2 linked regions of the Oryctolagus cuniculus genome follow. The protein of the gene in region 1 interacts with the protein of each later gene in a biochemical or structural test. Links are inferred from orthologs where the notes say so. Each region holds a gene or a part of one and is shown in the gene's direction. Other genes may lie near its edges. The genes, in order: RXFP3 and RLN3.

Region 1 (17,185 bases):
AATATCTATTTATTAATTTAAAAGACAGAGTGACACATGGAGAAATACACTCAGAGAGAGAGAGAGAGAGAGAGAGAGAGAAGAGAGAATCTTTCATCCACAAATTTACTCTCCAAATGGCCACAATAGCTCAGGCTAAGCCAGGCTGAAGCCAGAAGCCTAAAATTCCATCCAGGTCTCCCAAGTGGGTGGTAGGGTCCCAAGCACTTGGGCCATTTTGTGCTGCCTTCCCACATCCATTAACAGGGAGCTAGATCAGAAGCATGGCAGCTGGAACTCAATCTGGCAATCCAGCATGGGATGGCAACATTGCAAGCAATAGCTTAAACCACTGAACCACAGCACTGGCCCCAATCCTGCATCTTTTCACTCCTTGAATGTGAATCTAATTTTTGCAAGATTCCTCCAGCTATGTGGCATAGCTTTTGGGTTGTTACATAGAAGCAGTTCTGTTAGCTTCTATTTGGTCTTTTCTAATATCATAGCCCTCACTCCATAGACTAGGGAATCGAAGTAGAGATTGTGCCCCAGTTGTTGAATATACCTTCTGAACCTGTGTAAATATGCTAGTCGTTGAATATGCCTTCTGAACCTGTATGAAAAATCACAGTATGGTGTCAGGAACCCATTGAGCCCTCTGTATGATAGAATTGATGAAAACATAATTGATCACCTAATCTCTATAAGCTTCTACTCTAGTTGGTGAATAGCAATGGAATGTTGTTTCACCAGGAATTGGTGTCAGCTCATAGCCAAAGTCCTATTATTTCCCTTCGTTAATGTCTGATCAACCTGGTAAATGAAGGCAGTTTCTTTGGTGACAGGTAAGAATGATTATAGTACACATTTCACAGTTCTTCCTCAAGGAGACCTGCCTCTTCTTCATCCAGGAGATTGTAAGTCTATAAATCAGCTCAACTCCGTTCATTGTTGGAGGGGCTGATTCAAGTAAGACTTCTATTCATAACAGCGACTTTTTTTTTTTTTTTTTGCTTATGCATACCAAGTAGGACTTTTCTAGCTTGCCTTCTATTTCAGCACTAGAGGCAATGGTCAGTTAGCTAACAAGGAGTATAGGTTTAGGTCAAATTGTTCTGATTACTCTTTCACACTGCTGCTCATGGCCATAATCTGTCCCACCTCACCTCTGGGAATTAAGTGCCTCCACGGAATCCCTGATGCCTTGGGAGGACATCACTACTGAATTCAGCAAGTTTAGCTCAATAGCAGCAGCTCCTTCTTCCATTCCTGGCTTACTGATCACAGCCACCACAGAAAGATTTTCAAAGAAAAAGATTTTCAAAGTCCCCTCAGGGATGTTTTCTCGTCTGCCATAGGGATATGGTGGGGGGGGCTTCTTGACCCTCTTGGGAAGCAAGTTATGGATGACTGAGCAGATCTCACATAGGAAATCTTTGCTATCATTCTTTCTTCCTAAGCTCCTATATGCTGCTCCCTAAAGTATATCATGAAACTTTTGGCTTTTCAATATCATTTTGTCTAGGATACTCTGACTCTGTTTCAGTCAACCCATGAGCATACTGCTAGAGCTGCTTCCTGCAGGTTGAGTAATACACTGAATCTGGAATCTCTGTTTTGTGCACTCATATCAACCAACATGACCCTCCAGCACTATATGCCCTCCACTACTAGGATTTCATTCCTATAAAGATTCCCAGGTTTCTTCAGTAAAATTGCCTAAATGCTGGAATTCTTTTGATGTGCATCACTCTTCCTTGCCAGTCACATCTCGTGTCTCACTTTCTGGGCCCTGCCAGGACTCAGTCTAATTATAGAGCCCCTGGATAACAAGTAGAAGGAGCAAAGCCCTGCAAGGCATCAGAACATTGCAGTTTCTTCAGACAAGGAGAAGCTGACATTCTCAAATGAAGAAGAACCCAATTTTTATTTTAATTTTGAGTAAAGATTTTTCACAACTTAAGGAGAATTTGGGGATATTTGAGTGAAAATTACACTGAACAAATAAGAATAATGAATTCTAATGGGGCAAAAAGCCACACAAGAAAATAATATCAATCATCGCATACTGCGTGACTTGTCATTAACCAAGTTTCCATGGCCATTGCAGGGTAAAGGGCAGATATTTATCTTCCCAAAGTAAAACATAACTAAGTGGGGGCTGACGGCGTGGCTCACTTGGTTAATCCTCCGCCTGCAGCGCTAGGTTCTAGTCCTAGTTGCTCCTCTTCCAGTCCAGCTCTCTGCTGTGGCCCAGGAAGGCAGTGGAGGATGGCTCAGTGCTTGGGCCCTGCACCATCATGGGAAACCAGGAGGAAGCACCTGGCTCCTGTCTTCAGATCTGCATAGCTCCAGCTGTAGTGGCCATTTAGAGGGTGAACCAACAGAAGGAAGACCTTTCTCTGTCTCTCTCCCTCACTGTCTAACTCTATCCATCAAATAAATAAATAAAAAACATAACTAAATGGAGAGGTGTTGGAATGTCAGTATAAGTGGAAAAAGACAGTGAAGAAAAGAGGCTAACCATTCACCTTCCATTGTGTGAAGTGAAAAACAATGCTTACAATGAAAAAAATACAGAAACAATACAAGCAAATCTACCACATTTATCAAGACATATAGCAAAATAGCTGTTTAAAATACTTTGAATGTGCTTCTGGGTAGCTGAATAGAGCAGGTTCAGCCATCAGGGAGCTACAGTTTTTCACATTTTACTCTTCCACTAATGTTTCTCATTGAATTGGTCTAAGATTGGCACTGGCATCAATGTTTTTAAAGGTTTCACACTGACTTTGAAGTACAGGTGGCTTTAAGCTAGACATAGATGAATCTTAGAAGAAAATAAAGTATTATAAAACAGAGTTAGATTTGCATATTTTCAATGAGTGCATAATTAGAGGAAACTTCTAAATTACCTTTGAAAATTTGCATCCTGTTTTGGATTGCCTTTACTGTATGATCTCACCCAAATGCAGAATCCAATCAACTATTCTGTCCTGTATCCACACATGTGAAATATCTAGGCTCAATACTAAGAGCAAACGATGATAATGACACATGCCCTTCCTACACAAGGATGACACTGTTTTAATGAGATGAGAAATACACAGAAAGGGCCCTGGTGCTCCTTATGTAATGATGCACGCCTTCAGAGACAAGCTGACAGAGGGCTCTATAAAAGCTAACAATGGAAAAAATAAGATATATAATTTATTAATACCTTTCCAAAAAATAAAATTCAATCTCATTAAATGCTCTCATAGCAACTGGAAGTTCATGTTGATTTTTAAAACTTTTCATTTGAAAAGAGGTATTACAATTAAATCAAGATGTTCATGAATAGTTAAAGGTTACTTCATTTTAAGGATTTATTTGTTTATTTTGAAAGTCAGAATTACAGAGAGAGAGAGGGAGACAGAGAGAGAGAAAAAGAGAGAAAGAGAGATCTATCTTCCATCTTCTGGTTTACTCCCTGGATGGCCACAACAGCCAGTGATGGGCCAGGCCAAAGCCAGGAGCCAGGAGCTTCATTCAAGTCTCCCATATGGATGGCATAGGCCCAAGTACCTGGGCCACCTTCTACTTCTTTTCCCAGGCTATTAGCAGGGAACTGGATTGGAAGTGGAGCAGTAGGGATAAGAACTGGCACCCAGGCTGGCACCGCGGCTCACTAGGCTAATCCTCCGCCTGTGGCACCGGCACACTGGGTTCTAGTCCCAGTCAAGGCACCAGATTCTGTCCCAGTTGCCCCTCTTCCAGGCCAGCTTTCTGCTGTGGCCAGGAAGTGCAGTGGAGGATGGCCCAAGTCCTTGGGCCCTGCACCCCATGGGAGACCAGGATAAGTACCTGGCTCCTGCCGTCAGATCAGTGCGGTGCGCTGGCCGCGGCGGCCATTAGAGGGTGAACCAACGGCAAAGGAAGACCTTTCTCTCTGTCTCTCTCTCTCTGTCCACTCTGCCTGTCAAAAAAAAAAAAAAAAAAGAACTGGAACCCATAGGGGACACTAGTGCCTCAGGGATGGCTTTACCTCCTATACCACAAAGCCAGTCCCAAAAAGTTACTTCTTGCATATAATTTTATAACTTTCTATTTCACTTTGTTTTCTTTCTTGTGATAATTTTAATCATACAATTCATTACAATTCTAATTTTCTACATATTCGTATCAACTATTAGAATGTGAGTTCTGGTAGATGACAGTTTTCACTAAATCTCCCTTACATGGCCTAGTACCTTGCATAAGTTTGTACTCAGTGAATAGCTCTTTGATGTGTGAACAATATGTTAAGATGAGCTAATATGTTTAACTCAGAATAGCAGGTAATGTTCAAGCCAGGCTTATGTACCACCTTCCTGGTTTTCTATTGCTGCTATAACAAAAGACCACAAATACTGTGGCATAAGATACGAAAAACCTATTCTTCCCCAGCTTTAGAGATCGGAAGTCTGAAATTAGTTCCACTGGCATAAAGTCAAGGTAGTGGCAGAGCTGGTTTACTTCATGAGGCTTTGGGAAAGAATCCATATTATTGCTTTCCTCAGCTTCTAGTGGCTACATGTATTCTTAGCTGGTGGTCCCTCCCTCTGTCTTCAAAAATCATAACTAATCACTGCTTCTGTCATCACATTGCCTTCTTCTCTGATTCTGACTCCTCTTTCTTATCTCTTATAAAGACTCTTGTGAATATATTGGGACCATCTGTATAATCCATAGTCATCTCTCTGATGTCAAGACCTTTGATTTCATTGAAGTCCTTTTGTCCATATAAAGTAACATTCAAAGGCCCAGGAGTCAGAATGCAGATGTACTTCGTGATTCAGCCTACCACACACTACTTTATTGAAAAATTCTGATTGAGTCAGATCCAGTTGAGAAATGGAACATGGAACAAGAGAAGTCACTTATATTTTAGACCTAGTGTGGCTACTTCCTAACCATAGGATTCTGGGAAAATTCCTTCACATCTTCAGGCTTCCTCTGCAAAATACCAAGACTAAAGCCAGTGCTCTCTTACATTCTCTGATTATGGGTTTCCAGTGGTTATTAACTAAGATATACTTTTTACATTGTCCACACTCATGGCTTCACAAAATTCACATGGCTTCAAGCATACAAATACAGTGCAGAAAATGGTTTCAAGGTCTCACATTCTGTCACTAAGAAGGAGAAAGGACTTCTTGTAGGTAATAGGATATTTCTCTGGACATCCATAACAACCCAACCTTAATTTGAGGGGAAGATGGGGATAGAGAAAAACACAATGCATGTGGTAAAACAAGGTCTGCATCCTTCCTGTTTCATGGTTCATTCAAAACAAACATAAATAGAAAACCCTTGAGATAACAAAAAATTGAAACTGGAACAACTCATCAAAGTACTGTATAATGGCTTATTATGTGCCCAAATCTTAACAAAATTAGAGGGAAAATCAAACTAAAATTATTGTCCATGTATCTGCCAAAGATCATTACATTCTAGAAAACTTAGTCATGCACTAGACTAAACAAAAAATACAGTCACAGACAGTGCTATATTGGACACTTATTTCAAGGAAAAGTTTCAGAGAGGATCAAAACAGAGGGTTTTTGTCACAGTAAATCCTTCAGTCTCACTCAGTGCCCAGCAAAGAGTAAATGGCCAATGAGTGTGAGATGCATCAGATCAAGCCCTTTGCAATACTCTTAATAAAATGTGAAAACTTCACATGATTTGAGGCAGAAAAAGTAGATATAAGGGTACTTCAACAAATTTGTAGAAACTCTAATTAAGAATAAGTTTATTTTGGTGCCAAAACATTGAAATTCATGATAAGAGGTTCATAAAAAGTTCATGGAAATGTATACTATGAAAAACCTATACATAAATTTGAAAATTTTTGCACCAAATTAAACTTACCTTGCAGTTCTATTTTTCCACAATTTGAAGTTTTTTCATATGGTCCTAGGTAGGGCTAGAAGCACTAAGACAAAAAGCTGTATACTTGGTTGATTAGGGCCATTATTGTGAACATATGAATAACTTAACAACAGAGGGATTTCAAATTTTTCCCGGGCTTCCTTTATTTTATTTTATTTATTTGAAAGAGAGAAAAAAAGAAACAGTTTCCATCTTCTAGTTCACTGCCAAGATAGCTACAACAGGCCAGTCGGCAATGCAACCCAGGTTTCTGATATGGGTGGCAGGGACTCAACTACTTGAGACATCATTGCTGCCTTCCAGGGTCTGTATTTGCAGCAAACTGGAATCACCACTTGGAGTCAGGCATCAAACTCTAGTCTAGCCATTGGGATAGGCTTTCTTGTTTTTTGATAACACCTTGCACTATTATGAAAGATAAAACTGTTTCAGAGAAAGAACTAGCAAAAAGTAAAACGAAAGTGAGTGTGAAGGTCGGGCTGCTAACAGGGAATAAAGTGTTTTCAGGAAGAATCAGAGCATACAAGGAGGAAAGGAGAGGGCTTGGCTTGGGTTCTGTTTTTTCTAAAGCCCTGGCGCCCTCTAGTGAAAAGATAGAGCAATCTAGCATCCACACAGAGAAGTTTTCCTAACCACCTGTGTTCTGGCCTGGGAATCAAGGTTTTTTTCTGTTTCCCTTTTTTTATGGGGTGGGGGACACACCATGTTTCTTCACTACTAAGTGTTTTTTATATATTCTTTTCTTAGAAGTCACATTCATTTTATCTCCACAAGCAAAGCCTCAAGTTCCACATTACCCCAGGAGTGAGGACAATCACTGTATGCTTACAATACTTCTGTTTCTGTTTAGTCTCAATGAGGAACATTTTTAATTTTTAAATTTCTTAAATCCATTCTTTAAAAGCATATTTAACCAGAGAAATTGACCTGGAATTTCAACAACACAAAATTCAGAAGCCAGTCAGTTTCCACTGTTTCCTTTGCCAAAAGGCATTTAAGAGATTCCCTAGAATTTACTCCCAGTGGTCTGAAAAACACCTTACAGAGATAGATGGTTATAATAATAGTGTTAATTAGAAGACTGCATCCATAGCCACCCCCCAAGGTCTCCTCTGTTCCATCTACCTCTAGATGAAGACAGTGTGGGTGAATCTAACAATTTGTTGGGGAGTTCTGGATGAGGACTGTACAGGTGGAGCAGGCTCACCTGTTCTCTGCTATGTTTAGTTTCACTTCTCAGAACACAGTAAAGTACAGGCAACAGTAACCAGAGTTGTGCTATGTGGAGACCCTTTGAAAACCCCATCTCAGAGAGGAAGATGTAGAAGAAGAGGAGCTCGCCTCTGTGTATTCCGTTAGGACCCATCGTCTTAGTGTGCGGGAGGCCACTATCACTGCTGTAAAAACGGAAGCGGGTAGGATCGTTCCAATAATAAAATGGAAATGAGAAGTTCAGAAAAAAAACCAAATAGCTCGAGCCGCAATGTTTGGGAATAAGGAAGGAAAAGGGAACTCAGATTATAATAGGCTTTCTCCAGCAATACAGGACAATAAAGGGTTCTGATCATTTCTTTCTGCATCTTGGGAAAGCAGAGAGGCGTTGCGGGCGCTCTGCCTGTCCCGCGGGCGCGGCTGCGTTCAGCACCTCGGAAAGCGCCCCTGGCTCCGCGCGGGAGCCACGCATGCTCCTTGGGGTCCGCCGCCGCGGGTCTGCGAGCACTGATACAACTCCGGCGAGCGCCGCCGGCAACTCTCTCGGAGTTGGCAATAGCGGAGAGATCCAGACACCCGCGGACCTCCAGGCAGTCAGAGCCGGGGAGCCAGAACATCCCAACCTCATTTTCTCTCAGCAGCAACAGTAGAGAAAAACCGACAAAGGTATTGGAAACGGCAGGCGCGGGCCCTGGGCGGCTGGGTGGGTTAGGCGCCAGCGCCCTAAGTGACAGCGGGGAACGGAGGGAGGCAGTCAGCGGCGTGCATGCATGGGGACCCGGTGACTGCGCCCCCGGCCCAGGCAGCCTGGGACGCCGACCGCTGGCTCGCCTGGGGAGCTGCATTTCTCTGGTCTCTTGCCCCTCTCCGGAGCAGCCGCTGAGTTCAACTCCAGAACCTGCGCTCTGACCCCCATCTGCACTCGCTTCCCAGGCGCTGTCTTCAGCGGCTACTTTGAAAGCTCCCGCGCACTGGCCGCGCGCTTGCCTGGGGACTAAACCCGCTGCCAATCGTGCTCCCTACAGTCTCGCCCCCCGGAACATGCCCTAGAGGCACCTGCGCATGCAGGTGGCTGCGACAGCCGCGATGAACACCATGAAGAAGGCGGCGGCCGGCGGGGACGAGCTCGCAGGACTCTTGGGTCTGGTACCGGACCTCCTGGAAGCTGCCAACTCAAGTGTCAACGGGTCGCTGCAGCTACAGGACTTGTGGTGGGAGCTGGGGCTGGAGCTGCCGGACGGCGCGCCCCCCGGCAGTGTCGCGGCGGAGAGTGCGGACACGGAAGCGCGGGTGCGGATCCTTATCAGCGCAGTGTACTGGGTGGTTTGCGCGCTGGGGCTGGCGGGCAACCTGCTGGTGCTGTACCTGATGAAGAGCAAGCAGGGCTGGCGCAAGTCCTCCATCAACCTCTTCGTCACCAACCTGGCGCTGACAGACTTCCAGTTCGTGCTCACCTTGCCCTTCTGGGCCATGGAGAATGCGCTCGACTTCAGATGGCCCTTTGGCAACGCCATGTGTAAGATCGTGTCTGTCGTGACGTCCATGAACATGTACGCCAGCGTCTTCTTCCTCACCGCCATGAGCGTGGTGCGCTACTACTCGGTGGCCTCGGCTCTAAAGAGCCACCGGACCCAAGGGCACAGCCGGTGCGACTGCTGCGGCCAAAGCCTGGGAGACAGCTGCTGCTTCTCGGCCAAAGCCCTGTGCGTGTTCATCTGGGCTTCAGCCGTGCTGGCCTCGCTGCCCAATGCCATCTTCTCCACCACGATCAAGGTGATGGGCGACGAGCTGTGCCTGGTACGCTTCCCGGACAAGTTGCTGGGCGGCGACCGGCAGTTCTGGCTGGGCCTGTACCACTCGCAAAAGGTGCTGCTGGGCTTCCTGCTGCCTCTGGGCGTCATCAGCCTGTGCTACCTGCTGCTGGTGCGCTTCATCTCCGATCGTCGTGTGGTGGGGACCGAAGGAGGGACAGCGGCCAGGGGCGGCCTGACGGGAGCCAGCGCCCGGAGACGGGCCAAGGTCACCAAGTCAGTGACCATCGTCGTTCTCTCCTTCTTCCTCTGCTGGCTGCCCAACCAGGCGCTCACCACCTGGAGCATCCTCATCAAGTTCAATGCGGTGCCCTTCAGCCAAGAGTACTTCCTGTGCCAGGTGTACGCATTCCCAGTGAGCGTGTGCCTGGCACACTCCAACAGCTGCCTCAACCCCATCCTCTACTGTCTCGTGCGCCGTGAGTTCCGCAAGGCGCTCAAGAGCCTGCTGTGGCGCATCGCGTCGCCTTCGCTCACCAGCATGCGCCCCTTCACCGCCACCACTAAGCCAGAACCCGAAGACCACGGGCTGCAGGCCCTGGCGCCAATCCACGCAGCCGCCGAGCCCGACCTGCTCTACTACCCGCCTGGCGTCGTGGTCTACAGCGGGGGGCACTACGACCTGCTGCCCAGCAGCTCCGCCTACTAACGCCGGCGGAGGCCCAGGGTGTGAGGTCTGTTGGGCAAAATGGCCTTGAAGTAGGTGGGAAGGGGATGGTGCTCCAGTGTGGCGGCGCCCACAAAAGAAGCGGCACCGGGAATGCAGAGAAGCAAGGGTTTGAGAGTGAGGCTCAGCCACAAGGTGCACAATGGAGCGCATTTTTTCCAGCGACTTTCAAAGTCTTTGATAATGGCTGCCGGCTGCCTCCAGCGAGAGGTGCGGCTCTCTCAGATCCCTCCCTCTACGCTTTGGCCCTGGAGGCTGTGGCTGTGCAAAGGTCCAACTCAAAGTGTCTAGAGAGCCTGGAGTTTTAGAGGCAAGAAACTTTCCCCCTTGTTAGAAGAGGGGGCGTGTTGGTCCATTCCCAGGGGGAGTGTGGGAGGAGAAGCACCTCCCTCCGAGTCATTGTAGCATTGATCACCCTGCTTTGGGAGGCTGGGCACTTTCTGCGTCCTACCTCATCGGCCTCTGAGCTCAGAAGTCACCAGGAGCATAACACCTGCCGCCAGCAAGGGGGAGCGATTCACTTAAGAGTAGTGTGGCCGCGCGAGAGGGAGCTGACTACAGGGACTGAGGAGAGAACCACGTCGGGGTACTGTCCCAAGAAGGAAAACGTGGGCTCACCTGTTCATTTGGTAACAACAGGAAGTGGAGCTCCAGGCGCGGGCTGAAAGCCCTGGCGCTTCACTTTTGAGGGCTCTCTGGGTACCTGGAGACTGAGCTCCGTTCTGGGAGCCGCAGGTGAGCCGGGCCCAGAACGCCTACCAGAGCTCTACTGGAGGGTGGGGGCGCTCCTGAGGCCCTTCCTCTTCCCTCCGTGAAAATCCGGATTCCCCTTTGAGGCTGTGGCCCAGACAAGAGGCGTGGCTCAGGGCCGTTCTTAGGAGGCTGAGCTAGCAATGCTGTTCCAATGTGCAGGGGGCTCTTGCCAAGCAAATCCTCGGAGCTGAAGTCTGATCTTTCAAGAGAAGGGGCAGGGTGAGAAACAGAAGGGAAGAGAAGCAAAACCTGTCCTAAAGGGAGGAGGGGAGGGGAGGTGCTGGTTTGAGGGCACGCCCCGGAATATCAGGTGTGGGTTATTTACTGCTCATACTGTTCACAAGAGAAAGCAGAAATAGAATTCCCATAGGACATTACCTTAACCCATTCCATTTGTGCTTTGCACATTGAGCATGTGTGATGAATCCCGCCCACCCCCCAACTTCCAGTCTCTGTGGCTGTCTCCGAAGAATGACAGATTTCTCATGACAGCTCTCTTCTAGTCACAGCCGTTGAATATTGGAGACCCTCACAAAGTCCTGTCTTGAGCTGCTCTGAGAACTGGGATCACACCTCAGCGTCCCCATTCATATGCTTGCTTTGATAGCAGCACTACTGTTCTCCTTGATGATTTGGTTTGGGGTCAAGAAACCAGCAATGTAGGCAGTATTGTGGTTATTTTAATACAATAAATCGTTATTAGAAAATACATGTCTCTGAGCTGTAGAATTGCTGAGTGATTTTGTTGGAAATTTTTCTGCAGTGTTTCAGATGTAAGCTCAAAATGTGAGATGTAAAACTCCAGCCTCCCTTGCTTGTCCTGCTTTGTCACACAACACAGTGAAATTGCTAACCACTCATCCCTTGCCACAAAAACAAAACTGCCCAATTTCAGTCCTGAGCAGTCTTGAGAAGTTAGTTCTTTTAGAAACCAGACTCATGTTTCTGAAGTAGTCAAATTAGTCTTTCCTTGGGGAGAAAATTTGTTGATACTGAATAACAATTGGGATAACAAAAGTGGAGGTGTCCCCCAAAATACAAAATAAATGAGTGAACACTAGTAAGAACCAACAGTAGCATACCCCTGCATAACACCCATACTAAACTTTTAGTAAGAAACTCCTGTTAAAACAACTTATCACTTCAGTTGGGACAATAAGTTCATGTGTAAGTAGCTTAGAACTCAGAAAAGTGTTTTGGAGTGTGTGTGTTATGCTATATGGGCACTGGAAAGACAGAAGAGGCTAGAAGTGAGGTCTTCATATGAAACAGCTCTGTGGAAAGCATTGCCTGTCCAAATCCAAAGCTGAAGGCTTCTGAGACCATAACAGGGGGATCCATGACCGTGATTTCTGTCCTCCACAAGGACAAAGGGGTTGGAAAGGAAATAGTCAACTCAACTGACATCAGCCAATAGTTTTCACGTGTACCTCTTGCCAAACCTTGTGTTGGGTGCTGAGGTAAGGTCCATGGTCCAGATACATTCCTGACTTCATGTTTAGAAGGGCAGCCAGCCATGGACACAAGCAAGATCAGACAGGGAGCACCACAGCAAGGCTAAAAGAAAACTCAGAGGGAAGACAGGGGAAAGGAAGATGATTCCCCAGGAGGGATTCAGAGACTTCCTGGTCAAAGGGGTATTTGACATACAGGGCACAGTGTGGGCCCGATGCAGGGTGGTGAGGGAGTCATGAAGACATTTGAAGCTGAGGGCATAGTGTGACCGAAGGCCTGGAGGCTGGAATGTATGCTTGATTGAGGAGGCAGGAAGCAAAGCACTGGCTTCCCCTACTCCTTCCCAGGATTTCCATTGAAGTTATATGTGTCCTTACATTTGTTTTATCTGTCTGGAAACAGAACTTTTTTGCCAGAGAGAACAGGTTGTTAGTGTACTGAGAAGAAGCATTTGAGGTCCCAACAGTGCTTAAAGGCTTTTTAAAATTGGATTCTACCCAGTTGGTCAAACTTCAGTGGAACTGAGTACAATGAGTAAAGTATTTGCACATCATGTTTTAGTGGGTGTGTGGAGGGGATCATAACTGCTATAGCTCCCTTCCTCAGCTCAGTATCCTATCTGATGTCCCATCTAAAAGAAGTTTCGAGCCGGCGCCGTGGCTCACTAGGCTAATCCTCCGCCTAGCGGCGCCGGCACACCGGGTTCTAGTCCCGGTTGGGGCGCCGGATTCTGTCTCGGTTGCCCCTCTTCCAGGCCAGCTCTCTGCTGTGGCCAGGGAGTGCAGTGGAGGATGGCCCAGGTGCTTGGGCCCTGCACCCCATGGGAGACCAGGAAAAGCACCTGGCTCCTGGCTCCTGCCATCGGATCAGCGAGGTGCACCGGCCGCAGCGCCGGCCGCGGCGGCCATTGGAGGGTGAACCAACGGCAAAGGAAGACCTTTCTCTCTGTCTCTCTCTCTCTCACTGTCCACTCTGCCTGTCAAAAAATAAAAATAAATAAATAAATAAAAAAGAAGTTTCATTTGTAACAAAGATGATGCCCTGTCATTGATCAGAGTTAACTTCTTGAGGGACCATATAGGATGGATCAATTTCCCAGCTCCCCCATCCAGTCATTTCTAAATCTTCCAATACCAGAACAGTCTTTAGAGAAACAGTAAATCAGTATGAACCCTGCAGGATGTCTCATTTATTTTTTTTAAAGATGTACTTATTTATTTCAAAGTCAGAGTTACACAGAAAGGAGAGGCAGAGAGAATGGTCTTCCATCCACTAGTTCACTCCCCAGATGGGCGCAACCCCTGGAGCTGAGCCGATCCGAAGCCAGGAACAGGAGCTTCTTCCAGGTTTCCCACGTGGGTACAGGAGCCCAAGGACTTGGGCCATCTTCTACTGCTTTCCCAGGCTATAGCAGAGAGCTGAATCGGAAGTGGAGCAGCCGGGACTCAGACTGGAGCCCATATGGGATGTCGGCAGGGCAGGCAGTGTCTTTACCCGCTATACCACAGTGCTGGTCCCAGGATGTTTCATTTCTAAACTTTACAAAGGCAGTGCAGATAGGTGAAGCAAGAAAGGTGGTTTGGTTCCACTTCTTTTATAATGCTCAGAGTACTGACACGGGGTCCTCTGAGTATGTGACCCTCAATACCCCAAGCAAAACCCCATGGAAGCAGGGGTTTTTCCTGATTATTCCTCTAAGTCAGTCATGACCTCATTTTCTCAGGATGGATGATGAGGCTGAAAGATGTGGAGAAGAGGGTGGAAAGAAGAATGGCAAAGATAGGGTAGTTGTCCACATGCATCCTATAAAGAACGGGAGAGTTTTATCTGCAAGTGAGGCACTAATAGGAGTAGGGTGGCAGAGCACGAGAAGTGCTGGTTTGGAGAGAATAATGCTTGAGGGTTGATAAATGAAACAACAATGCACTCGGGTCTGAGAAGACAGCCCAGCCTGGTGAGGACAGCACCAGAGATCTGGAAAGAATGGGATAAACTACAGGAGCCTGGAGTGCTTGGTGTCAGGTAAGGAAGATGTGTGTCCTGCTGGTAACACAGGTAAGCAGTGAACAGGAAGGAGCCCCCAGCCCTCCATCAGCCCTCTTGCCCTTTCTGCACATACACACATGTGGCCTGCTCCACAAGGATGTTCCAGATGTCCCAGCCTACAACACTAACCCTGCCGCAGTTCCCATTGTGATAACCAGGTAGCAGCAAAGAGCAGGCTTTTTAATCAAGGAGAAAGCAGTTGAGAGAATTGCAGCAGCAAAGTACAAGCCCAGGCAGGAGGAGGAGGAAGAGAACAAATTGAGATGACAGGAATCTAGCTGCGTTTGGAGACCACTGGAAGGAGGAAGCTGAAACACTGAATGACAACGGATCTGCTTGCAGGCTGTGTTTTTGGGATAGTAATCTGCAAAGCTGCTCTTGGCCTTGGGCCCCTGCTCTGGGTTTTATCATTAGAGGACTCAGCTCTACCTGTCTCCCTCCAGCTGCGCTCTTTTCTGCACAGGGAACCCACCGGGCTGAGTGCAGCCTGTGCCCCCCACCTTCTAGATCATGTGCCAGTACCTCAGACCTCAGAATAATTCATCCAAACACCCCTGAGTCCGTTGACAAATCCCTCACAAATCCTTTCTGGAATCCACCCCCCAGAGGGCAAAGCACACGACTGAGGCTATGAGACCCTAGTATGAGAGGGGGTAAGGAGGGCTGTTTGCAGGAGTGGCAGGGGGTGAAGGGTTGTGGGAGACCATGGATGTGCTGAAGGCAAAGTGCACACAAGGACTCACAAGGTGCTGGACAGAAATAAGAATGCAAGGAGAAGGGAAGACGAACGGGCTGTGGACCTGGGTCTGCATCCATACTTGCGGGCTGGACTCCACAAATGCTAGGAGTGCTCCTGAGCCCCTCATCCACCCAACAGTTGTGTGTAAGAGGACCCAAAGCTTTCCAGAGGACAAGCAGGACATGCTTCCTCTTCCCAGGATCACTGCCTCTATGAGCTGATGCTGCAGGGGCCTGGCCATGCTCTGAGCCCATAAATTCTACTATGTATGGGACAAACGACTACAGTATCTCAAAGACAGTTCATTTCATTTTTTCCTTCCTGGCAACAAAGACCTGGGATGGTTAGAAATCCAATGGAGGCAATCCATGAGTGCACGCCCAGACTCCGAGATGAGGTCAGATAGCAGCACAGCATTAACTCCTGAATACAGAAGGACAAATCTCCATTCTGCACTAGTCAGGCTCACTGGGTGTGGTACAGGCAAACGCTTAAGACCAGAGAAGACCTGGGGTGGGGGAACAGGAGGATGAACCACTAGCAGTAGTCTGGTGCACTCGCTGTCATTTGTTGAGCACCAACCAGGGCCAGCCCAGCCTAGGTGCTGTGGGCACAGGAAGCAACAGAACCAAAGTACCAGGGTGCAAAGCGCAGCTCTGCCACTAGTGACCTGGCTGATTTCAGGTGAGTTCTAGAACTCTCTGCCTCAGTTTCCTCATCCTCATAATGAGACCAGTGAGTGACAGCACCAGCTCCCAGGACTGCTGATGAACACAGGTGAAATACTTAGTGCAGTGGGAAGCACTCTCGGAGTTTTGTGTCATTACTCATGACTGAGGTAGGAACAACCATTCTAAATGTGCAGATGGGCAGATGTGGCTGAAGGAAGTCCGTTTGCTGCTGGATAACAAAGCCAGGATTCTAAACCAGCCTGATGCCAAAGTTTGTGATCATTCTATTAAGCCTTGCTCGTCTCTGGAGACTGCTAAAAACCTCACCCTATTAGGAGCAGCTGAAGAGGAATGGTTGGCGAAAAACTGCTTAGCCTGTAGAACAGAAGATCACAGCAGAAACCGGAGGCTGTTTTTTGAAAGACTTAATATCAACTCCAGAGGAGGGAAAAAAGAGCGTGGACTAGAAAGGACTTATTTTTTCCCTGTGTCAATGAAATAAGCTGCTTGAAGGTAGCAAATCCTCCAGCATGAGACATTTGGGCAGATTTGCCAGAAGCATCATAAATTAATAGGAATTAATTATGAGCAAATTAAATATGAATAAAGTAATACCACAAATCATCAGCATAATATTTGGCATATTTGATGAAATATGACTCCCCAACTACAAACGGCTCCTGGTTAAGATAGAAAAAAATATGCCATAAAACAAATCCAAGTGTCATGTGCAAATGACATCATATGCAATTAGTCTGCTTCTCAAGTTTCATCAAGGCCTAGAGGTTCACTCTGTCTCTCCAACTTACATGCTGAGAGGCAGTAGGGAGGGTGCTCATTGCTGCTACCACCCACACACACTCATTGCCCCCAGTGCACGGAGACATAGCCCACGTGATGGTGCCCAAATAGGAGGACTGCTGTGCAGAGGACTGGACAGTGTAGGAGGCTGCTGACCACAACTGAAATCACAGCACGGGAATCCAAAGGGCAGACCCCCAGGATGCAAAATTTCCAAAAAGACTGGTTTTATGCCATGCGTGTCACCTGTCAAAGGGTAGGATCAATGTCTCTTTATTGACCTAATTCACGTATCTAACAAAGAGAGCCACGAAGCAGCAGCCGATCAATGCCACTGCAGAGGCTGTGATCACCACGACAATGACGCTCCCGGCTGTGTTGACCAGGAAGCCCAGGCCACCGCCGACCAGGATCTGAGCCAGCTGCACCATGCAGGTGAGTGCAGCACAGTCCACGCCCTTCCCTCGCCCGCTGCTGTCCAGGGCCCCTCCTGGGGCCAGCTTGTGCCTCTGCAAGAGAAGCACAGGAACAGCATTTGATCGTGAGGAACTGTCGCGGAGGGTACAGGCGGACAAACTTTCTCTGAAGATCGCTCTGGATCCTATGACTACTCAACACTGCTGCCATGGTGCAAAATGATCTTACCGGTCAACAAATTGAGTTCCAACCATTTTATGGACACTGGCATTTGATCACATGGCATTTTCACTTGGCACTAAATATTATCCTTCTTTTGATATGTTTTTTCAATAACTTAAAAATGTAAAGGAAATCCCTGTCTCGTGGACTGCACAAAAACAGGTGACAGGCTGCATTTGCCCAGCAAGGCACTGGTCACCAACCCTGACTTAGGGCCCGGGAAGCCCTTCCCCTTCCTGCTCCGTGCAGCCTTCCTTACCCACAACAAAGCCTCAGATGCCTTCATTAACATAAAACGAAGCTAAATGATTAAAATATGCAAAATTGCCTCTTCCTAAGAAGAGAGTAAATACAATGTAGCAGAAGCTCAATAAATACCAATTCTTCGGTTTCTTAGTTTTAAAAATTTAAAAATTTTCAGAAGGATGTCAAATCACTGATAAAAAAAAAAAAAAAAAAAAAAAAAAAAAAAAAAAAAAAAAAAAAAAAAAAACTT
Region 2 (13,722 bases), on another chromosome or scaffold:
CCTGCAGAAGGCCCTGCCTGGCCAGCCCGGCCCCTGAGATGCTCAGGTTTGGGGTGCCAGCGAGGACCTCAGCTCCACAGGCTGCCTCCAGGCCCTGGCCCTGAGCACTTCCCTAATGCCACAGATGGGGCCACCGTCCAGCAGCTGGGACAGTGACCCCCACCCCGGCCAGCACCTGGAGTCCCCGTGTGCAGCTTCTGGGGTCCCTGATGCTAACTCACATGGCCCAGCACAAGCCGAGCCAACCTTTAAAGGCACTGGGAGTGCTAGCACTCGGCCATAGAGAGCTGCTGCCTGCGGCACCGGCATCCCACACAGGCGCTGGTTTGAGTCCCAGCTGCTCCACTTCCAGTCCAGCTCTCTGCTATGGCCTGGGAAAGCAGTGGAAGATGACCCAAGTCCTTGGACCCCTGCACCTGCGTGGGAGACCTGGAGGAAGCTCCTGGCTCCTGGCTTTGGATTGGCGCAGCACCAGCTGTTGTGGCCAAATGGGAAGTGTACCAGCGGATGGAAGACCTTTCTCTCTCTCTCTCTCTGTCTCTGCCTTTCAAATAATAAAACATCTTTAAAAACAAATCAGTAAAGCTACCGGGCTCTCACTCAGTATGATAAAAATCAACACCCACAGCTCAACAAATCAACACCCACAGCTCGACGTCAACAACCATCGTCATGACGTCATGGCTACGCGATGCGGGCAGGGCGGTTCTGGGGTAGCTGCTGCACCATCCAGGCGGCCGCTCGGCGCAGTGACAGGAGACTAAAAGAATTCAGGCGAGCGACTGCCCCAGAGACCAGCTGACACAGCCCCAGCGGGGGTCTCTCCCTAGGCAATGACCCCTCTGCACCTGGGTGGGTGGTGCCCAGGGCCAGCCCCCAAGGCGGCCTCTCTCCGATCTGCAGTCTAAGAAGTGAAAAAAAAAAAAAAAAAAAAACACCGGAGGATGAGACCGCCCGCCCCCCCCCCCCCAATCCTCCTAACCCCGATCTCAAGCCCTTGGGAGCGACGCTGGAAACGGACATTTTCTTAGGAGCGGATCGGTTTGTGTGCCCACCAAGCTCAACGACCAACACAGGAAAGCCACTGCGGGCCCGGCCCGGCTGGCAACTTGCAAAAATCTACACCCCTCCCCCCTGCCTCCTTCCCTCTCCAGGCTGGCGGGTCTGGTGGCCCCGAAAAACAATTACAAAGATTCTCCGCTGACAAACGAGGATACCCATCCCCTTCCCTTGACCGCTGCGGCCTGCCGCTGCGCCAGCCCACGTGGCCCCGGGGACGCCTGCTACCCCGGCAAGTGACATGTGACCCGGCCGGCACCAACTTGACACAAAATCATGTGTGTGCTGGCCAGGAGGAGCGGCCAAAGGGATAAAAAAAAAAAATCCAGTAACAACTTCCTCAGGCGCCCTTGGCCGCCCCATGCCCAGAAAGGGGGGGACGCTGATGGGCAGAAGAGGGGGAAGCAGCAATCCTGTCACCTCCAGCAGGCACCCCAACCCCAGTCTCACTTCCCCTAAATCTCACTCAGGACCTCCGCCACCCTGCCAGGGGCTTCGAGGTCGCCAGCGCCCCAGGCTCCCAGACAGAAGACAGGGCTGAAGCTAAGGTTAGCTAATCCCCACTCAGAACCACATTCCGAAACAGGAGCTGGGGCTCCAAGGTTCCAAGGGGAACACCCCCCGGGAAAAACGCCTGCAGGGACTTGGGCGGGAGACCCCGGACTGTAGGAGGAGAAGCGGACAGGGAATCCACTCTGCCCATTTCGCAGAAGGGAAAACTGAGATCTCGCCTGCGCCAGGCCCTCCGCGTCCTAGCTGAGTCCTGGGGACGGCGGAGGAGCCCAGAGGCGCAGGTGGCCCGGGACAGCCCCACCCGGCTCCCGCAGGGGGAAGCCGCCGGCTCCGCCCACACCTTTCCGCCAGGCCCCGCCTACCCGCGGCCCGCTCCTTCCCATTGGCCCAGCCCCCCCCCAGGCCTGCCCCTTCGCGCCTCCCCATATAAAAGCCCCCCGCCCGGGCCGCGCGACCGCCACTCGCAGCCGGCCTGCGAGCGCCCGCCCCTCGCGGGTGGCGTCGCCCCGGCCGGGCCCCGGCCCCCTCCCCCCACGGCCGCCATTTTGGCCGCCCGCCCCTTCCCCCCGGGCTGTGACTGCGGCGCCGCCCGCTGCCTGCGCCCCGGCCCGGCCCGCCGCCCCGGGGCCGCCCCGGTTACCTCGGCTTCTGCCCGCTTCCGTCCGCGGAGGGGCCCCGCGGAGCTGTCGGAGGCGGTGTGGCGAGGGGGACGGGACGCGCCGGGGCCCCCGGGCTGGGCCGGGGGCGTGGGGGCGGGGGTCGGCAGGGCGCTTGTTGTTGTTGACTCGCGTTGCCGGGTTGCTTGGTCGCCACGACTACCGTGGCTATGGCGCCTCCGTTTCCCTCACCGGGGCAACTGTTGCTACCCACCCTACTGACGTCACGCGCCGGGGCGGGGCCCTGGGCGATTGGCGGTGCCGGGCCGTGCCGCTTGGCTATTGGCCGCCAGGCACGCTTTTCAACACCCTCTTGACTGCCTGGCGCTCCGATTCGGCAAGGCGAATGTCCATCAAAGGAAACTGAACACTCAAAGGCCGGAGAGTGCGCCGCTCCCTCCGGGAAGCCGAGGGCTAAGAATAGAGGGGTGGAGTCTGTGAGGCCGGGGATTGGCGAGCGGCTGTGAAACCAGCCTTCTTGTTCGACTACGGAAACGCCAATCTACACCGAAGCTTTACCGCGTTCCCTGGCCGGAGGCTGTGCGCCTGCGCCCCCCGCACAAGGCCTCCTGGGAGTTGTAGTCCGCCTCTCCGTACTCACCAAATGGAAAACAGCGAGAAAAGAAGCAGCTCTGCCTTCGGTCGTCTTCCTCCCTCGGGAAGCCGGGGTCTGGCCCCTGGCGCTGACGTCACGGGGGGAATGCGGTGACGCAGCACCGCCCTCTGTGACGTCACCGGGCGCGCGCTTCCCCACCCCCGGCCCGTGGCCCTTGGCGGGTGGGCTGGGGTGGGCTGGGGTGGGCGCGGGCAGCGGCTGTGGGCCCGGGAAAGGTCACCGCCGCCCCGGCGGCCGCCCAGGGAAAGGTCTCCCGCCGGCGGGCGATAAGCAAAGGTCAGCGCCGGCCCTGCACGCGGGCGCGGGGGCCCCCGGCTGCAGGAGCTCCCCATGCTCGCGTGCAAGGTGCAGAAGAAACCCGTGAGCAGAGTTAGGGGTGTTCCGCAAGCAGAGCCCGATCTGCCAACGAAAATGCTTTTTTTTTTTTGTATTCAGGATTTTTGCCCACTCTCAACCGCTAGGGCTGGGGAACATGAGTAACTGTTTGGGAAAACGGATATGTTAATTTGTTCCTCTATAGTAACACTGTTACTCTAGCTCGTAGTAAGCACCCTATGTGTTATAACGTCTTGTATCCCTTAAAGATACACCAAGGTGATTTTTCAAATGACGTCCGTGTTCTTGGATTTGCCTGAGTTTTTTTAAATAAATCTTTTTAAACACTTTTGGTCATTGTACCGGTTTTTTTTTTTTTTTTTTTTTTTTTTTGTCTTTAGGTTTAGGTAGGCTTCATTTTTTTAAAGATTTTTTTTTTTTAAGATTTATTTATTTGAGAGGCAGAGTTACAGGCTGAAAGGGAGCCACACACACACACACACAGAAGTCTTCCATCCACTGGCTCACTCCCCAGTTGGCCACAATGACCAGAGCTGGGCCAGGCTGAAGCTGGGAACCAGGAATTCTTCCTGGATCTCCCATGCAGGTGCAGGGGCCCAAACACTTGGGTCATCTTCCACTGTTTTCCCAAGCCATAGCAGCTGGATCGGAAGTGGAGCAGCCGGGACTCGAACCGGTGCCCCTATGAGATGCCTGCGCTGCAGGTGGCAGTTTTACCTGCTACACCACAGCGCCGCCCCTCTTTTTAAAGTATTAATTCTTCTGATGACTAAGCTGTTTTTGGCTCCTCCTTCAGTGTCTTCCCAGGAAGCTCCGAGCCCCGCTGCTTGCTGGGTTCTAATCCCCAGCTCTGCTGTGTGACACTGGGGAAGTGGCTGCGTCTCTCTGGGCTGCTGTTTCCTAGTTCCAGCCGGGTTCCGTGCAAAGGCCTGGGAGAGGACAGACAGGTCCCCTCATTTGAGGTGAGCATGGCGAGGGGTCCTCGGGAATGTGCCAGAAAGGCGCAGGGGCCTGCAGCTGTGATGCCTGCGGCTGGAACATCTGGCTAAGGTGCCGGGAGACGGGGCAGCAGCAGCTGGAAATTTCCCAGAGTGGGTTAAGCGGACCATGAGGGCTGGTTCCAGTCCTGGCTGCTCCACTTCTGATCCAGCTCCCTGCGAATGCACCTGGGAAGGCAGCGGAAGACGGTCTAAGTGCTGGGGCCCCCGAAACCCACATGGGAGACCCGATGGAGCTCCTGGCTCCTGGCTTCTGCCTGGCCCAGCACTGGGTGTTGCAGCCATCTGGGAAGTGACCCAGAGGATGGAAGAGTCTCTCTCTCTGCCTCTCTGTAACTCTGCCTTTCAAATAAATAAATCTTAAACAAACAAACAAACAAACAAAACTTAAAGATGTCCATGTCAGCAGGAAGCAGCTCTAAAGACAGATCATGGTCCCTCCACCCCTCCTGGACTTTCGGGGCTCATCTAACCCATACAACTCTTGCCTTTTTTTTTAAAGGGGTGGGGGCTGTTAGTGAAATGGTGCAGTCTTGTCTGTGGTGTGACCTACGCCCCGACACCATCCTAGGCTCTAGCCCCCACCCCGCTGCCATTGTTGGGAGCCAGGGAACCCCATGGCCCAACCACAGGTGTCAGCTCAACCCCCACCCCAATGGGATTCACTGCTCCCACTTCCCTGCCCGACCCCGGGCGAACACGTGCTCGCTCTCTCGCGCTCTCTCCTCTCGACCACCCCCCCACCCCCGGCTGGTAGGGCTTCCCCCACCCACAATAAACCTTTTCCTAAAAAAAGAACTTGTGGCCTGCGCTGCGGCTCACTAGGCTAATCCTCCGCCTTGCGGCGCCAGCACACCGGGTTCTAGTCCCGGTTGGGGCACCAGATTCTATCCTGGTTGCCCCTCTTCCAGGCCAGCTCTCTGCTGTGGCCAGGGAGTACAGTGGAGGATGGCCCAGGTGCTTGGGCCCTGAACCCCATGGGAGACCAGGAGAAGCACCTGGCTCCTGGCTTCGGATCAGCATGGTGCGCCGGCCGCAGCGCGCCGGCCACGCCGGCCATTGGAGGGTGAACCAACGGCAAAGAAAGACCTTTCTCTCTGTCTCTCAATCTCACTGCCCACTCTGCCTGTCAAAACAAACAAAACAACAACAACAACAACAACTTGTAGTCCAGAATCTTCAGCATACAAGCCTGAGTATTTTTGCTTTCTGTCCAGTGGGCATAGGGGGTGAATACTAGGCTGCTGTTACCAGCAACCCTTTCAACCTGTGTACCTGTGGTGTAAAAGGGAAAAAAAAATAATATGTATTTATTTGAGGGCTAGAGAGAGAAACTTCTGTCCCTGGCTCCTTCCCCAAAGGCCCCACAAGAGCCAGGAGCTCAGAACTCCATCCAGGTCTCCTGTGTGGGTGGCAGGGACCCAAGGTCTTGAGGGCCACCTGCTGCCTCCCAGGGTGTGCGCATGTGCAGGGCGCTGGGCTCATCCCGTCGCAGCCAGGAACAGAATCCAGCCACCAACACATGGTCACTGCTAAGCTAAACACCCAGCCCCGTTACTGAGACCTATTGAAACATTGTTGCAAAAAAGCCCTTGATACAGTGGATCCTGGGGCTCGGGAAAGCTCAGCCAAACAGATACTGAGGCACAAGGCGTTGACTGTGGAGTCTTGATGAGTTAACACCATCTTGGAATCCACAGCTGGAGTCACTGCAACCTACAGCCTACAGGACAAGAAGCTGGGAAAAAAAAAAAAAAAAAGAATGCATTGATATTCACCAAGAATGAAAAAAAAAATCTGAAAGGTTATCTCCCTGGCTCCTTGGATATGTAGAAGAAAAAGGCTTGGGACACCATCCACCTTTATCTTTTTTTTTTTTTTTTTTTTTTGCTTATATATCTCCAAGTGGAAAGGCAGGTTTTTTGTTGGGAAAAAGCTGGAGGAAGAAGACTTGGCCTTTGGAAGAAAATGCAACAATGTAGCACCGACCTAAAAGAAGTTAAGCCAATTCCAGCAACTGGGGTTCTTCCCCATAGCTGTTTCAAGCAGCCCCTACCTGTCCAGGGGACACACAGACACCTTCAAGAAACCGGTATGGATTCAGGAAAACCCGAGCGATTGGAGATCTGAGACGGACGGTTGGATATTAAATCAGCGAGGGCTTTGCCTGGGCTGTCCGAGGCGAGATGGAGGCTGGGGAGAGGCGGAACTCGGTCAGATAGGGTTCAAGGGTACGGGGGGGGGGTGCAGGTGGCCGAGTGGGAAGTGAGGCATGCCAGAAGTGAGTCTCTGGGGACAGGAAGCCAGGTTAGGCACCTGTGCAGCCGCATGTTGGAGTCTCTGGCCATCAGCAGCTATTTAAACTAAAACCTGGTGTTGGCATTTGTGTTTCGGTGGGCTAAGCTGCCGTCTGTGACGCCAGCATCTGGTATCGGAGCGCAGGTTTGAGTCCCGGCTTCTCTGCTTCCCATCCAGCTCCCGGCTGATGCACCTGGGAAAGCAGTGGACGATGGTCCAAGTGCTATGGCGCCAGTATGCATGTGGGAGACCCAGATGAAGCTCCTGGCTTCAGCCTGGCTAGGTCCAGTTATTGTGGGCATTTGGGGAGTGAACCAGCAGGTGGGAGATCCCTGGCTGTGTGTCTTTCTGTCTTTCAGGTAAATAAACGAATATTTATTTTCAATAGTAAAAAGAAGGCCGGGGCTGCGGCTCAATAGGCTAATCCTCTGCCTTGCAGCGCCGGCACACCGGGTTCTAGTCCTGGTCGGGGTGCCGGATTCTGTCCCGGTTGCCCCTCTTCCAGGCCAGCTCTCTGCTGTGGCCAGGGAGTGCAGTGGAGGATGGCCCAGGTGCTTGGGCCCTGCACCCCATGGGAGACCAGGAAAAGCACCTGGCTCCTGCCTTCAGATCAGCATGGTGCACCAGCGGCAGCCATTGGAGGGTGAGCAAACAGCAAAAGGAAGACCTTTCTCTCTGTCTCTCTCTCTCACTGTCCACTCTGCCTGTCAAAAGAAAAAAATAGTAAAAAGAGAAGTTTGGGGCAGAGCTGTGACATAGTGGGTAAAGCCGGCAGTGCCAGCATCCCATATGGGCGCTGGTTCGAGTCCCAGCTGCTCCATTTCCGATCCAGCCTTCTGCTATGGCCTGGGAAAGCAGTGGAAGATGGCCCAAGTCCTTGGGTCCCTGCACCTGTGTGGGGGACCTGGAAGAAGCTCCTGGCTCCTGGCTTCAGCCTGGCGCAGGCTTGGCTATTGTGGGGCATTTGGGGAATGAACTAGCAGATGGAAGACCTCTCTCTCTCTCACTTCTCTCTCTCTCTGTGTGTGTCTCTCCTACTCTGCCTTTCAAATCTTTTGTTAAGGTAATTTATGGAGAGTTTACACACATGCCCTTACATGTGTATCAAATGACGTTTCTACAGATTCTTGAAACTAAATAAAGAAAAAAAGGGAGCCAGTGCTGAGGCACATTGGGTTAAGCTTCCACCTGCAGCACCGACATCCCCTATGGGCACCTGCTCCCTTTCTGATATAGCTCTCTGCTACGGCCTGGGAAAGCAGTAGAAGATGGCCCAAATCCTTGGGCCCCTGCACCCGTGTGGGAGACCTGGAGATCCATTGGTTCACTCCCCACATGGCCACAAACGGCCTGGGCTGGGTCAAGCCAAACCCAGGAACCAAAAACCTCATCCGGGTCTCCCACATGAGTGCAGGGGCCCAAGCACTTGGGCCATCCTCCACTGCTTTCCCAGGCCACAGCAGAGCTGGATCAGAAGAGGAGCAGCCGGGACTTGAACTGGCGCCCCTGTGGGATGCCAGCACCACAGGTGACAGTTTAACAAGCTATGCCACAGTGCCAGCCCCACATTTTTCTTTTTAATTTGTACTTATTTTTATTTGAAAGGCAGAGACAGAGAGAGGTAGAGACAGAGAGGAAGGGAGAGATCTCCCATCCATTGGTTCACTCCTCAAATGCCCACCACAGCCGGGAGCCAGGAGCGCCATCTGGGTACCCACGTGGGAGGCAGGAATCCAGGTACTGACCCCTCACCTACTGCTTCCCCAGATGCCTTAGCAGGAGGCCGGAGCAGAAGCAGAGGAGCCGGGACTCCTCACTGGGGCTCCACTCCGGCGTGTGGATGTCTCCAAGCTTAGCCACGGAGCCGCAACGCCCGCCACCCCACCCCCCATTTCCCTGCTCCTGTGAGTTCATTTCCTGTGTGGCTCTGACAAACGGTCACAAACTGGGAGAGGTACAACAATGGTCATTTCTCCTCTCGCGTTGTTTGGGAGACCAGAAATCCCGGGGTGGTTGTTTCCTGCCTCTGCTGGTTTCCGGCGGCATCTCCAGGTGTGGCCGTGGGTTCTGAGGCCACTGCGCACAGCCTCTGCCTCCGTCTTCATGCGGCACTTCCTCTGATCTCTCTCTCTCGCTCTCTCTCTCTCTCTTAAAGATTTATTCATTTATTTGAAAGGTAGAATTACAGAGAGAGAGAGAGAGAGAGAGAGAGAGATGGAGGGAGGGAGGGATGGAGGGAGAGAGGGAGAGGTCTCCATCTGCTGGTTCACTCCCCAATTGGCTGCATTGACCAGAGTTGCGCCTATCCAAAGCCAGGAGCCAGGAGCTCCATCCGGGTCTCCCACGCAGGTGCAGGGGTCCAAAGACTTGGGGCATCTTCCACTGCTTTCCCAGGCCATAGCAGAGAGCTGGATCGGAAGTGGAGCAGCCAGGACTCAAACCAGCGCCCCTATTGGATGCCAGTGCTGCAGGTGGTGGCTTTACCCATTACACCACAGCGCCAGCTGCCCTCTTGTCTCTTTAAAAAATTATTTATTTGAAAGAGCAACTAAGAAAGAGAGAGAGAGAGACAGAGAGAGATCTGCCACCCATTGATTCAGTCCCCAAATGCCCACAACAGTCAGGGCTGGGCCAGGCTTGAAGCCAGGAGCCAGGAGCTCCATCCGGGTCTCCCTCATAGGTGGCAGGGACCCAGGTACTTGGGCCCTCACGTGCTGCCTCCCAGGTGCTGTAGCAGGGGGCTGGTTCCGAAGCAGAGCAGCCAGGACTCAAACCAGTGCAACCCGCATTGGAGACCAGGAGGAAGCACCTGGCTCCTGGCTTCGGATCGGCGCAGCGCCAGCCGTAGCGACCATTTGGGGGGTGAACCAACAGAAGGAAGACCTTTCTCTCTGTCTCTCTCTCTCTCTCACTGTCTGTCACTCTACCTGCCAAATAAATTAAAAAAAAAATGGTGCTCCAGTGTGGGCATTTGGGGAGCAAAGCAGCAGATGGAGGGGCCATCTGTAGGTGTGTCTGTCTCTGTCTGTCTGTGTCTCTGCCTTCCAAATCAAAGGCAGATAATAGGCCAGCGCCGCGGCTCACTAGGCTAATCCTACGCCCAGCGGCGCCGGCACACCGGGTTCTAGTCCCGGTTGGGGCGCCGGATTCTGTCCTCCTGGTTGCCCCTCTTCCAGGCCAGCTCTCTGCTGTGGCCCGGGAGTACAGTGGAGGATGGCCCAGGTGCTTGGGCCCTGCACCCCATGAGAGACCAGGATAAGTACCAGGCTCTTGCCATCGGATCAGCGTGGTGCGCTGGCCACAGCGCGCCGGCCGCGCCAGCCATTGGAGGGTGAACCAATGGCAAAGGAAGACCTTTCTCTCTGTCTCTCTCTCTCCCTGTCCACTCTGCCTGTAAAAAAAAAAGGCAGATAATAAATACTGAGCCTTCTGCTTCTGGCTCCAGGCCAGTTCATTAAATCAGTCAATCAGACAGGAGACTTCGCTGTGCGTTGGTTTTTCACCAGTCCTGAGCCAGGTGTCGGAGACCTGGGGGAGGAGAGCGAGGGCGCATCACCCCACATCCCCGACAGCCCCTGACCTCTGCGGCATCAGAGGAGTCAGAGGTGAAGACGAATTATTCATCAGCCTTTCCCCCAGCAGCCATCCCATGCGCCCTCTGCCTTCCAGAGCCTCAGGGGGCACCCGGGAGCCGGGCACTGGTGGCCAAGCAAAGGCCACAGGGATAAAGTTCCAACCCGAAGGGAGAGACAGGCAAATAGCACGGATTGCGAGCCAGCCACTGCTGTCAGATTCGGGCGCACCCCCGGCCCCACTCCCCACCACCAAAGTTCCCTAGGAGGCCAGGGACAGAAACCAGGGCACAGAGAAGGGCAGTGAGCAGCCTAAGGACGCACAGCACGGAGGGCGCAGAGCTGGGATTTGAACCCAGGCCAGCCCCTCACCAGAGCAGCTGTAGTTCTTGGGTTGATGAACAACTTTTGGGTCTTTAAAAAAATAATTTATTTTGGGAGCTGGCTTTGGAGCACAGTGGGATGAGCCACTGCCTCCCATAGGAGCACAGGTTCGAGCCCCGGCTGCTCCACTTCTGATCCAGCTCCCTGCTAATGCACCTGGGTAAGCAGCAGAGGATGGCCCAAGTGCTTGGGCCCCTGCACCCACGTGGGAGACCCGGACGGAGCTCCTGGCTCCTGGCTTCAGCTTGACCCAGTCCTGGCTGGTGTGGGCATTTGGGGAGTGAACCAGCAGGTGGAAGGTTCTCTCTCTCTCTCTTTCTCCCCCTATTGGGGGTCCCCATTGGACAGTGGTGGGCAGGGTTTCACATACATTTGCTGATTGGCTTGGGGCTCATGGACATAGCGGGGGTCTCCTGGAAGCTGTCCACCCCCTTAGGGGCTCAGACCCCTTCCTCTGCCAGCTCTGGGTGCAGGGTCGCAGCCACTCTGGAGGTGTGACTTGAGGCTGAAAGGTCACACCTACAGCAGAGAATCCATTAGTGGGGGAGATGCCAGTGGGTCTGGAGACAGGCTTTCCAGCCACTGCCTACGTCTGAGGGGGCGCACAGACCCCCAGTGCCACTAAACGGCCTCATCTCTTATCCTCTGCTTCACTCCCCAAATGGCCACAGCAGTCAAGGCTGGGTCAGGCTGAAGCCAGGAGCCAGGAGCTCCATCCGGGTCTCCCACGTGGGTGGCAGGGACCCAAGGACTCAGGCCATCACTGTTGGCTCTCAGGCTGTGCATTAGCAGGGAGCTTGGAATCAGAGCTGGGACTAAAACGTAGGCACGCAGGGGCCAGTGCTGTGGTGTAGCAGGTAAAGCCGCCGTCTGCAGTGCCAGCATCCCATATGGGCGCTGGTTCAAGTCCCAGCTGCTCCATTTCCGATCCAGCTCTCTGCTGTGGCCTGGGAAAGCAGTGGAAGATGGCCCAAGTGCTTGGGCCCCTACACCCACATGGGAGACCCAGAAGAAGCTCCTGGCTTCGGATGGGACAAGCTCCAGTCGTGCGGCCATTTGGGGAGAGAACCAGTGGATGGAAGACCTCTCTCTGTCTCTCTCGCTGCCCCGCGCCCCATAACCCTGCCTTTCAAATAAATAACTCTTTAAAAATACATGCACACACACTATGCAGGCAGAAAATGCAAACAGCTGTCCGTGTTCCCGTAAGCATGGAACATTCACTCTTACTATACTTCAGAAGAGAGCTGTGCACGCCAACCCTGCGGGCGGGGGTCTGGCTGAGCCCCCTCCCCTTCCCCTGGCAGGGGTCGGCTTGAGTCAAAGTCCCCGGCCCCGGGCGATGGATGCTGACGGCCAGCTGAGCCGTGTCACCTGCTCCCTGGAGAAAGGTTATCGCTTCGTCCTAGCGGGAGACGGGAAAGGTCGGAGCTGGTGGGGGCGAGGAGTGACCCAGACGTGTGTCTGTGCTGGGAGAGATAAGCGAGGTGACTCGGCCTCAGGCAGGCTGGGTGCGGGGAGGCGCCGATGTATAAATGGGTGGGGGACCGGCAGGTGGCAGAGATCCGAGCGGCCCTTGCAGTCCGAGGCGTCGCTCTGTCCACCATGGCCAAGTGCTGGGTGCTGCTCCTGCTGCCGCTCCTGAGCGGGTGGGCGCTGGCCGGCGAGCGCTGGCTCGGGGCCGCCGAGGCCCGGACTGCGCCCTACGCCGTGAAACTCTGCGGCCGTGAATTCATCCGCGCTGTTATCTACACGTGCGGCAGCTCCCGCTGGCGGCGCTCGGACATCCTGGCCAGGGAAGCCACCGGTGAGGCTGGGGCCAGAAGGGGGACGGGTGACCTGCAGGTCGCAGGAGAGATGGGGACCAGGGCGGCAGGGCCCGGGTTGGGGGAGACCTCCCCTCAGCCTGGATGGAGGGCTCAAGGGCTGGGGTGCGCGTGGGTGCCATTGCCAAGGCTGAGGTGCTGTCTGGGGTGGCCAGGGTGAGGGGCCAGATTTGCTACCTTACTGGGTGACCTCGCCTGGCCGTGGCCTCTCCTCTCTCTCTGAACTCCCTGGTGACACACTTAGAATCGCGTGGGGTTCAGAGGTCGTGCTTGACACACAACCCGTGGTATTCTGCATGTGGCTTGAACACTCATTTTCTGTCTGAACTCTACTACTTCGACCCCTGAAGAAGTTGGGGACTATAACGCCTCCCCCCCCCAAGACTTTCCATACAAGGAAATGGGCTCAAGGAAGGAATTTCACTTCCTCAGGATTGGATCTGTGTGCAGTCAGCCCAGCTCTTAACTACCAGGTCCTCCATTATATAAAGAGTAAGGGGGAATAAATGACAAAGAGAGGAAAGTTACACGTGTTGGTAAAGTTAAATAACCTGCCCATAGAACAGACTGATAACACAGCCAGAACTGAGCAGGACCAAAACCTCACGCCCCAACGCTTGAGTTTCAGCAGCAGAGAAGTTGCCCAGGCCCAGCCGAGACGCAGAAGTCGGGGTGCGACAGCCGCTGAGCCCCAAGCTCTCACACTTCTTTCTTTTCTTTTCCAGGGGAGGTCTTCCCCGACGCAGACGCCGACACCGACAGCCTGGCAGGACAGCCGGACGAGTCCATGAGCTCCAGCGAGTGGCTGGCACTCCCCCAGTCCCCCCAGGCCCTCTCCAGGGGCCGAGCCGGCTGGCAGGAAACCCCGGAGGCCGCCCGGGAGAGCCGTGACATCCAGGGTGGGCTCTCTAGCTTCTGTTGCAAGTGGGGCTGCACCAAGAGCCAACTCAGCATCCTATGCTAGCGCCCGCGGGAGACGCCGGGGAGCAGCAGCCGGGCCCCCAGCCCCGCCTTCCACTCCTCCCCCCGGCCCCTGGCCCCAGCCTTGACCATGGACGGAGCGCCAGCTCTGCTCCTCACTGGCCACAGGGGGACTCCTGACCCCAACTGCAGCCTCAAACCAAGCCTCTGCCTGGTGCACTGAGCACCCCTCCTCCCCGCACACGCCCCTGCCTCCCCTAAACGACGTCCCTGTCCCAGCCCAGCCTTGTCACCCACTCGGATGCTGGCGAGACCCCTAGCTCGGGGACCTGGTGGGGGGTAGTGCCGCGTTAAAAGGAAAATAAAAGTTGTTCAAAGGCCTCGCCGAGTTGGGTGTCGTCGCTAGGAGGGGGGAGAGGGCAGATGAGGATGGGTTTCCGCCTCCCCCGTGTCCCCAGCCCCGCCCCAGCCGAGCCACTCCGGGGACTTCCCGCCGCAGCGGGGGCCAGGGGCGGGACCCAAGGCTGCGGGGGCGGCGGCGGG

The links.
Region 2: the proteins of RXFP3 (region 1) and RLN3 form a complex in vitro, tested with the Homo sapiens proteins (2 studies listed by BioGRID, with this or other methods). The link is inferred for Oryctolagus cuniculus from reciprocal best matches to the Homo sapiens genes RXFP3 and RLN3.

What each region holds. Positions count from the first base shown.
Region 1 is NC_091445.1:59,992,085-60,009,269, forward strand, and holds RXFP3 (relaxin-3 receptor 1), read left to right. Parts: upstream 1-6,537; 5' UTR 6,538-8,169; coding exon 8,170-9,567; 3' UTR 9,568-11,010; downstream 11,011-17,185. Other genes in the region: SLC45A2 (membrane-associated transporter protein), read right to left, coding at 16,332-16,559. UniProt on the Homo sapiens protein: Receptor for RNL3/relaxin-3. Binding of the ligand inhibit cAMP accumulation.
Region 2 is NC_091447.1:62,920,003-62,933,724, forward strand, and holds RLN3 (relaxin-3 precursor), read left to right. Parts: upstream 1-12,037; coding exon 12,038-12,239; intron 12,240-12,983; coding exon 12,984-13,222; downstream 13,223-13,722. UniProt on the Homo sapiens protein: May play a role in neuropeptide signaling processes. Ligand for LGR7, RXFP3 and RXFP4.